2 linked regions of the Oryza sativa Japonica Group genome follow. The protein of the gene in region 1 interacts with the protein of each later gene in a pairwise test. Links are inferred from orthologs where the notes say so. Each region holds a gene or a part of one and is shown on either strand. Other genes may lie near its edges.

Evidence for each region.
Region 2: the proteins of delta(24)-sterol reductase (region 1) and putative ataxin-3 homolog interact in binary tests that used the Arabidopsis thaliana proteins (3 or more experiments, as listed by UniProt). The link is inferred for Oryza sativa Japonica Group from reciprocal best matches to the Arabidopsis thaliana genes DWF1 and AT3G54130.

The regions. Positions count from the first base shown.
Region 1 is NC_089044.1:14,013,894-14,017,918, forward strand, and holds the start of delta(24)-sterol reductase, read right to left. Parts: upstream 2,808-4,025; 5' UTR 2,591-2,807; intron 1,550-2,590; 5' UTR 1,537-1,549; coding exon 295-1,536; intron 41-294; coding exon 1-40. UniProt on the Arabidopsis thaliana protein: Plays a critical role in the general process of plant cell elongation. Involved in the synthesis of campesterol, an early precursor of brassinolide.
Region 2 is NC_089035.1:37,283,761-37,287,933, reverse strand, and holds the start of putative ataxin-3 homolog, read left to right. Parts: upstream 1-1,364; 5' UTR 1,365-1,455; coding exon 1,456-1,728; intron 1,729-4,173. UniProt on the Arabidopsis thaliana protein: Interacts with key regulators of transcription and represses transcription. Acts as a histone-binding protein that regulates transcription. Acts as a deubiquitinating enzyme.

The DNA of each region.
Region 1 (4,025 bases):
GCTTGTAGAGCCGGTGCGGGCACAGCCACAGTGGATAAACCTAATAACAGAAATTATTAGTGAACTGTAAGCAGCAGTAGATTGCAGTACACTAAAATAGTTGGTACAGGCACAAGAATAGTTAGGTGAACTTACATCAAGCCCAAAGATATAAGTAATAGAATGCATGTGCAAGCATAACAATTTATGGCATGGAATATTCATTTCTAGAAGTAGTTATATAATTGAAAAGCCTCGTTTTAAATGCATATTTGATACTTAAACATCAAATATTCGATCCGAAGTGAAACACACCTCCATTTCCTTGTGAACAAACTCAAGAGCATCTCCAACTTTGTACAAGGGAACCAGCATGTCTTGAATCACATGGTTGTCATGGTAGTAATTCCTGATAGATTCACCCTGTGTGGCCTTGAGCAGAGACACCTTTGGTGGCATCAGCCAGCCCAAGAGGAACCTGAACCAGAATTGGTCGCCGAATGGCAAGATCAGCTTCCCCTCCCAGTACAGACACCGGGTGTGACGGTGGTAGTACTCTCTTGTTGGAATGTACTCCACAAACTCACCCTTCTTGAGTGCTGTCTGAGCATGTTGGTAAAACCAAGGCTTGAACCACCACCCGACACAGTTGATCTTATTGCCCTTCTTCTTTGCCTCTTCTTTGGAAGCATAAACACCAGTCATCATGACACCCTCATTTTCTGTGTACACCATTCCCTCAACGAAGTCTGGGACCTTTGCAGGATCACCATCTCGTGGTGCAAACGAATCACAATAACCTTGTGCTATCTCCTTCAGTGACCCTTTAACTGGAGTATATGTGAGCCTCATGTATTCCTTGATGGGAATGAGTTTGATCTCAGCGGAAACAAGAAACCCAAGTGTTCCCTGGGACCAGGGAATGCCATAGAAAAGGTCAGAGTACTCATTATCCTTAGTGGCTCTAACAACTCGACCGTCTGCAAGAACAACTTCCACGGCGACAACAGTGTCAGAGAAAAGACCATAGAGGTGAGAGCTCCCTTCAATACCATACCCATTGATCAGTCCCCCAACAGTAAGGTCATCAAGCTCAGCAACAACTGCAAGGGCAAGGTTCATTGGGCATGTAGCTCTGGTTATCTGGCCCATGTTGACAAGAGGCTCAACCTTGGCAACCATTCTCTCTCTGTCAATCTCAAGAATGTTCCTGAAGGCGGAAAGGTCAACCTCAAAATGCCTAGCACGCTTGTAGTCTACATTGCGCATGCCAACAGCAATCCAGGGCTTCCTAGCTGTGCAAACAAGGCCATCCTTCTTTGGGTTCCTCTGCTTGAGCCGCTTCACAACTTTTTGCACATTGTCATCATGTTCCTTCTGGCGACGTTTCTCAGATTTCATGGCAGACCAGACATCGCCCAAATAGATATTGAAGTAGATCAGAGCGGAAATGGGGAGCACCACAAAGATCACCAGAATCCATCGGAACTTTACCAAGTAGTCCACCAAAACCTTCTTCCTCTTCGGACGAACGAGGGGCTCCTGCAGATCTGCCATGGCTGCAGTCCGGCTCTAGGAACAGAACAGTTCGAGGAGAAAACAGAATTAGTTAGAGTAATGATTTTTATCAATCACCACACTGAAGCTGTATGTTTCTTGAAAATTAAAAAAAAAACAGTAAAAGTGAAAGTGAAGCACATAACAAGAACAGACCCAAAAGATTTTACATGAGAAGATGCCAAAAACAACAAATGTACATGATTATTGATTAATATCTTCTCCGCTGTATTGACACAGTTACATCCATCACACTTCCATTTTACCATCTAAAGTACCAAGTAAAGATGACGCAACAATGTCAAAGGCATATCATTCTTGCACACTGGATAGGTATACCATAATAGAACCTATTTTAAGGGGTAACAGGGCAATGACATGCAGAAGCAAAAAAAGGAGGGTGAATCAGTAATGCCATGTCAACATATGTACTACTAAGATGCAATTTGTAGGATAACTGATCCTCCCAGCTCAACATCCACATCCAAGACCAACCGCCACCTTGCACCATTCATGAAAAATTTCACAACACAACAAGAGACACAAAAAGAATCGACACGGTGTCGACGTCCATGTGAATGCCGCAGCACGCATGCTGTGAGGCTGCCCATCACAACAAAAAGGACCGCGGCATTGCATCGTATCATGCGTTCTCGCTCACATAATCCAACAACAACTGAACCCCCCCCCCCCCCCAAAGCTCACGCATGCGGCGTGAGCACCAATCCATGGCTAGCATGCACGCACGCACGCACGCAGCAAAACATGCTCCCACACGGAGACACCACAGATCTGTTCAGGCGGGGACCTCAGAAACCTCACGGGTTCAGCTAAACCCTCCCCAAGAACCCGAACCAACCAAACCCCCCCAAATCCCTCCCTCGAAAAACAAGCCGCTACCAACACTACCACTACGACTACGACTCTACACCGCAAGAACCCGGAAGAAACGGGACTGGATCCGTCGATCCGAGCGGGAAGAAATCCCCTCAAGGCAATCTCCGGTGGCTCATGAAGCGGCGGGGAGGAGGGAGAGAAGACGAGTGGCATATACCTTGGGCCCGATCCGAACCGGGAAGGAGGAGGAGGAGGAGGCCGGCGGCGGCTCGGCGGCAGCGCCGCGCGGGCGGAGACGGCGAGGCGAGGCGAGGAGCTCGGCCTCACTGCCTCTGCTCTGGCGCCGCTGGTCGGGGTGGGGAGCCGGAGGTGGTGGTGGCGGAGTCTGGGGATGGGGGACTCAAGTAGTGGAGTGGAGCGCACAGCGCAGGGGCGGAAAGGGAAATTCCTTTTCGGCGGTACTACACGACAAGAGATGGCGAACGGGCGAGAAATACGCGGAAATGACTCTTTTGACCCCCCTACTCCCCAGCGCCCGGAAATTCAGCTCAATATTTCACTTTTCCGTTTTCCCAATTTTAAATGGCACTCCGGTACTCCCCTGTCTTCAAGTGCAGTTATAAGTTTTTGCGTCTAATTTTTATCGTCCGTTTTATTTAAATTTTTTTATAATTAGTATTTTTATTATTATAAGATGATAAAATATGAAGGGTGAATAGCTAAAGTGGTCCTCCAAGTTTCATCCAAAGCTCAGTTTAGTTCTTAATGTTTCAGTCTATCCATATTACTCATTCAAGTTTTTATTTTAGTTCAAACTTATCCTTAAACCAACAACTCTCTTGATAAATGACACTTATACCCCCATCATTCACATATATAAGAGAAAATTTGTATGCTTTATTTTTTTAAGATAATGTTTAGTAAATTATGTAAAACGAAAATAAATTATGTACTAGCAAGTGTATACGATAGTAATTGCTTAAGTTTCATGTGCACATATTGAAATAATGGGAAGTATATATGCAATGTTGTTTATTCATCTTGGTTTTCTCCCTTTTAGTATATAGTTGTATATAAATTAAGGGCAAAAGGGATATTTTCTAATAGAAATATTGACTTAAAAATAGCCATATGGCATATTAAGTGGGCCCAAGTATGATGTCAAGCCAAAACAAATATTTAGAGGAGCTATGTGGATAAAATGAAACGTGAAGGACCAAATTGAGCCTTCGGTGAAACTTGAGGGACTTAATTAGCTATTCACCCAAATATGAATAGTACTTTTACGTCACTTATGATTTTAATTTTTTTTAAAAAAATAAATAAGACGGACAGTTAAAGTTGTGCACGGAAAATCATGGCTGCACTTAAAATATGACAGAGGGAGTACCAAAGAATATGCCCAAGATATACCTAAATATTTAATATGCCCAAGATATACCTAAAAATTTATCTCTAAAATTATGTTTTTGAATTTCTAGTTTGATTTTAAGGTGTAAACTAACTTCTAATAATAAAAAATGGAACCACCCCCTAACTACCAACAGATACGAAAAAAAATTGCTCTGCCCATCGCCTCCCACGCACACGATCTCTCCACTTGTCACCCACTCCTTTCGCCATGCGGAAATTTGGAGCGAGAGTATCTCTCG
Region 2 (4,173 bases), on another chromosome or scaffold:
TGCAACTTGGACTCGAGATTAGAAATAGGTGTTAGTGCACAGTGGCATATCTGGGATTTTTATATGGGTGATCGAACCTATACTTTTTTAGAAATACCCTAAATATAACAAAGCTATAAGTATAAATTGATCAAATATGCATAACAATATATTAATAAGGGAGTTAGTATTTTTTTTACTTTTTCTAATTTTTTAAATATATGTGTATATATGTATTAGGTTAGGATTTTTTTTCCGGTGGTCCTTGGATCCGCTTGTGTTACTGTACCTCAATTAGAGGGATGAGCTTGTGCTCGTTTTCTTCACCAGTGGTAGTGATTTTTTTTCCATCTTTCAGAGTAAATCTAACAGTCTAAAACTTAAATATTTTCCCCAAAAAATCCGTCGAAAGAAAAATAGCAATTTCGTACACGAAAACATATAGCTACTGTTTCTTAAATTAAATCTATTTATAGTATAGCAATCTACTGTTGCAAGGAAATGTGCCTAATACAAACAAAATGACAGCTCAATCAACACGCACCAAACTGAAACGGCCCACGACTTATATTGAGAGGAAGGACATCTATGGGCTAGGCCCACGACATTATTTTTCAACTTCTCAGGGAGAAAAAGAAAAGAAAGCGAAGAAATAGACTACACTCCTACTGTCCTACATACAGTATACGGACTACCAATGTGGAGAGAGCTGTAAACATCTGGTGGAGCCACGCACCCGATGCCTTTTCCTTTTCTTTCACGGTGACGTCGCACTCTAAATAGATCGAAATACTAACCTTGGCATATTTCACTCATGAATCAAATACATATGGAGCATAGACTATAGAGGCTTTGTTTGTTTGGGGTGTGTTTTTGTCTAGAGGTAAAGTTTTTAAAGTATACAGATACAGATTTGAAGTATTAAACGTAGACTAATAATAAAATAAATTATAGATTTTGCCTGTAAACTGCGAAACGAATTTATTGAGTCTAATTAATCCATCATTAGTAAATATTTATTATAGCATCATATTATTAAATTATGGCGTAATTAGGCTAAAAAAATTTGTCTCGCAATTTACATGCAAACTGTAAACTGTGTAATTGTTTTTTCCCACGTTTAATGTTTAATGTATGTGTCAAACATTTGATTTGATGTTTTTGTTCAAATTATTTTATCTAAACCAGCCTTGGTGCATCGAGATATCAATTTCATTTTTGGGGGCAAATTCCACGTGGTAGACGGTTGAGAGGATCGCGGTCGACGTGGCGACGCCTTTTTGATGGTTTTTTTTTTCCCCGCAGGAGAATCTGCGTCGCGCACTGACCCGTACAGCACTCAACTCTCTCTCTAACCTTTCCCCCATCGGATCGGTTGGTTGGTCGAATCTACCTCGCTACACAGTGGTAGGGGTAGAGGGAGGGTAGAAGAGAAGAGGGGGGAATCGCCGGAGGGTTCGAGAAGATTCTAGAGGGATGGAGGAGGCGGCGGCGGCGAGCAACGGGGGGCTGCTGTACCACGAGGTGCAGGAGGGGAAGCTCTGCGCCGTGCACTGCGTGAACACCACCCTGCAGGGGCCCTTCTTCTCCGAGTTCGACCTCTCCGCGCTCGCCGTCGACCTCGACCAGCGGGAGCGCCAGGTCATGTCCGAGGGCGCGGCCGGCGCCGCCACCACCGCCGCGGGGGACTTCCTCGCCGAGGGTGAGGGCTCCCACAACGTCTCCCTTGGAGGAGACTTCAGCATCCAGGTTGGCTTGCCCCGTCTATGGCCCTCCGCCATCCACGCTCGTGGGGGGTTTATTTATTTCTTTTCGCTTGTCTTCTGTCGTCCTGGTTAGTGAGATTGTTGCCGAGATGAACTTAGGTTGCCTGTAGGCCTGTAAGCTTCGAATTTAGCAAGATTGTTGTCGAAATGAACTTGGTTGCCTGTAGGCCTATAACCTCGAAGTTAGTGAGATTGTTGTCGAAATGAGTTTGGTTGTCTGTAGGCTTGTAGGTTCGAATTTTGGGGGGTTTGCTTGACGTATCATGTTGTTGATGGTACATTCTAGTTTAAGATTCTCAGATGGCTTCCGGAATTCCAAATAATAAATGATTTATAGCATAGTGGTCAATATGTTATCATGTTGAGGATGGTGAAGGAATGTTTATTTGTCTGAGACAGGAACTTGCCCACACTATTGTTCTCAAATGCAGATAAAATCATATAATTTTTATTGAAACCTTTCTATATGGTTAGGTAATATGAAGGGTTTATATTTATCCTAGACATCAGCATTTGCATGATTCCTTTTTGTAGTCACAACTTTGCTAGTTAGGAATATGTTCATAGGTTTTTGTTGCAGCAGTGTAAGTACTATGTGGTGATGATGACAGGAGATTGCATATTGCTGTATAGTTTCTTCTTGAGAAGTTACAGAAATTCTATGTGACTACATCTGTTTACTCCCATAGTTGCACGTTCATTTAAATTAACAACATGTGGGAAATAGTTGGGTGAGAGGGCTTTTTGTAAACGTCGACAAGAGTTCTCTTGGCAGGTTGCAGTTTTTCATGTTACGTACTTCACTACTTGCCATGCAAAGATACAAGTAAGTGCGTGCATGCATGCATGCATATATAATTATTAATTCTTCTGCGATTATTCCGACCAAATTTATGTTCGTGGTGTGCGCCATAAAGCTTTTACTTGTTTTGTTGCTTTGAGCTTTGTCGTGTACTGAATTGTGACATTAAGGAGAAATTTATGTTCTAGCTGTCTAGGTGTTATCTCTTACCTGTTTTAGGAAAAACAGCATAAGAGGTTTTTGAAAACCTGTTTGGTGTTTATGGGAATTTTAATTTTACATTAAGAACATCAACGGTGTTGACATGGACATTAAGGTTTGTATTATACTTTTAGTAACAATAGAAAAGAACAAAAATCTGAAGTTTGCGCTGAGTCCATTCCACTTATGGGCAAACCGCAGTAAAGCTCTGTCATCTGGGGTCTAACGTACAAGCAGAGGGGGTGATGGCAAGGAGCAGTCCAGGATGCGGCAGGCCCAGGCCCAAGTTATTCTCTGAGACCATATCCTTCTCTGGCTGAGATAAGCCCTTATTCTAAATTAGTTATGGTTAGAATAGTCAGTTTATTTTAGGATTTGGTAAGAGTTGGTTTGAGTTAGTTTTCGACTCAGATTGAGTTAATAGTTTGATTTGGAAACTATTGTTAGGGGTGGCTTTATAATCAAGCTCACGGCAATTGTTTAGCGGAAAATGCAATTAATTCTTTTCTCTAGCCGTTTCTAATGTCCTTGCCTCCCTGATGCAGTGCTGATCATGGCAATCAAACACCACCCTTGAGGTCCAGGGCCATGACCTATCACCTCTCACGATTATGATCTTCAACATATTTGACCCACTAACATACCTGCCCATGACAAGCTCGCAGTAGTTGAGTTTGTCATTAAAGCTTGTGGCTTGCCAGTTCTATCATTGTGGTAGACTGGTGTCCTAGATATGCCTATATTTACATTATCAATTGCCAAGAATATAATAGATCCTCAAATGCAAGTACAACTACTGGTTAATGTTTTGCCACCTTTTTTTATTAAAATTTGAAGGTATCAATTTTACAGTTTGCGGTAGAAAAAGATTTAGCGAATTCAGGACTTCGCTGTTAGCAATGATTAGCGAGCCCAAAAATATGGTGAAAATGTTGTCCATCTATGTTTTCTCAGTCCATGCACTATTGTTTATTGTTTTTGCACATATGCTGCCGATATTTGGATGTTCTGTATCCCTAGTTATCCTTGATGCATGTCTCTGTCAAATGTGGCCAATACCAATTTGCTGTAAATAACATTAACCATGTTTGATATGTTACCTTTTAAATTTGGGGTATGCAAGTTTTGCAACTCTTGTCCCTTGGGATCCATGGGAGAAGAATAAATTGTGCCTGTTCCCACTGCCCACTGTAAATAGTGTAACATGTTTACTCTGCTCTGGCAGCATTGCATATTTCGGAATTGTTACATCATGTAAATTCTCTTGCCATACTAGTGACAGATTTATTTCCATGTGCCTTTGGTATACATGAGCTGATATGTCTCTTTCATTCAACTTATTCAGGTGATTCTTTATGTAATAGTTAAAACTTAAAACCTTGTCACTGAATGGTTAACTAGAACTAAATGATAGTCTTAGATCTA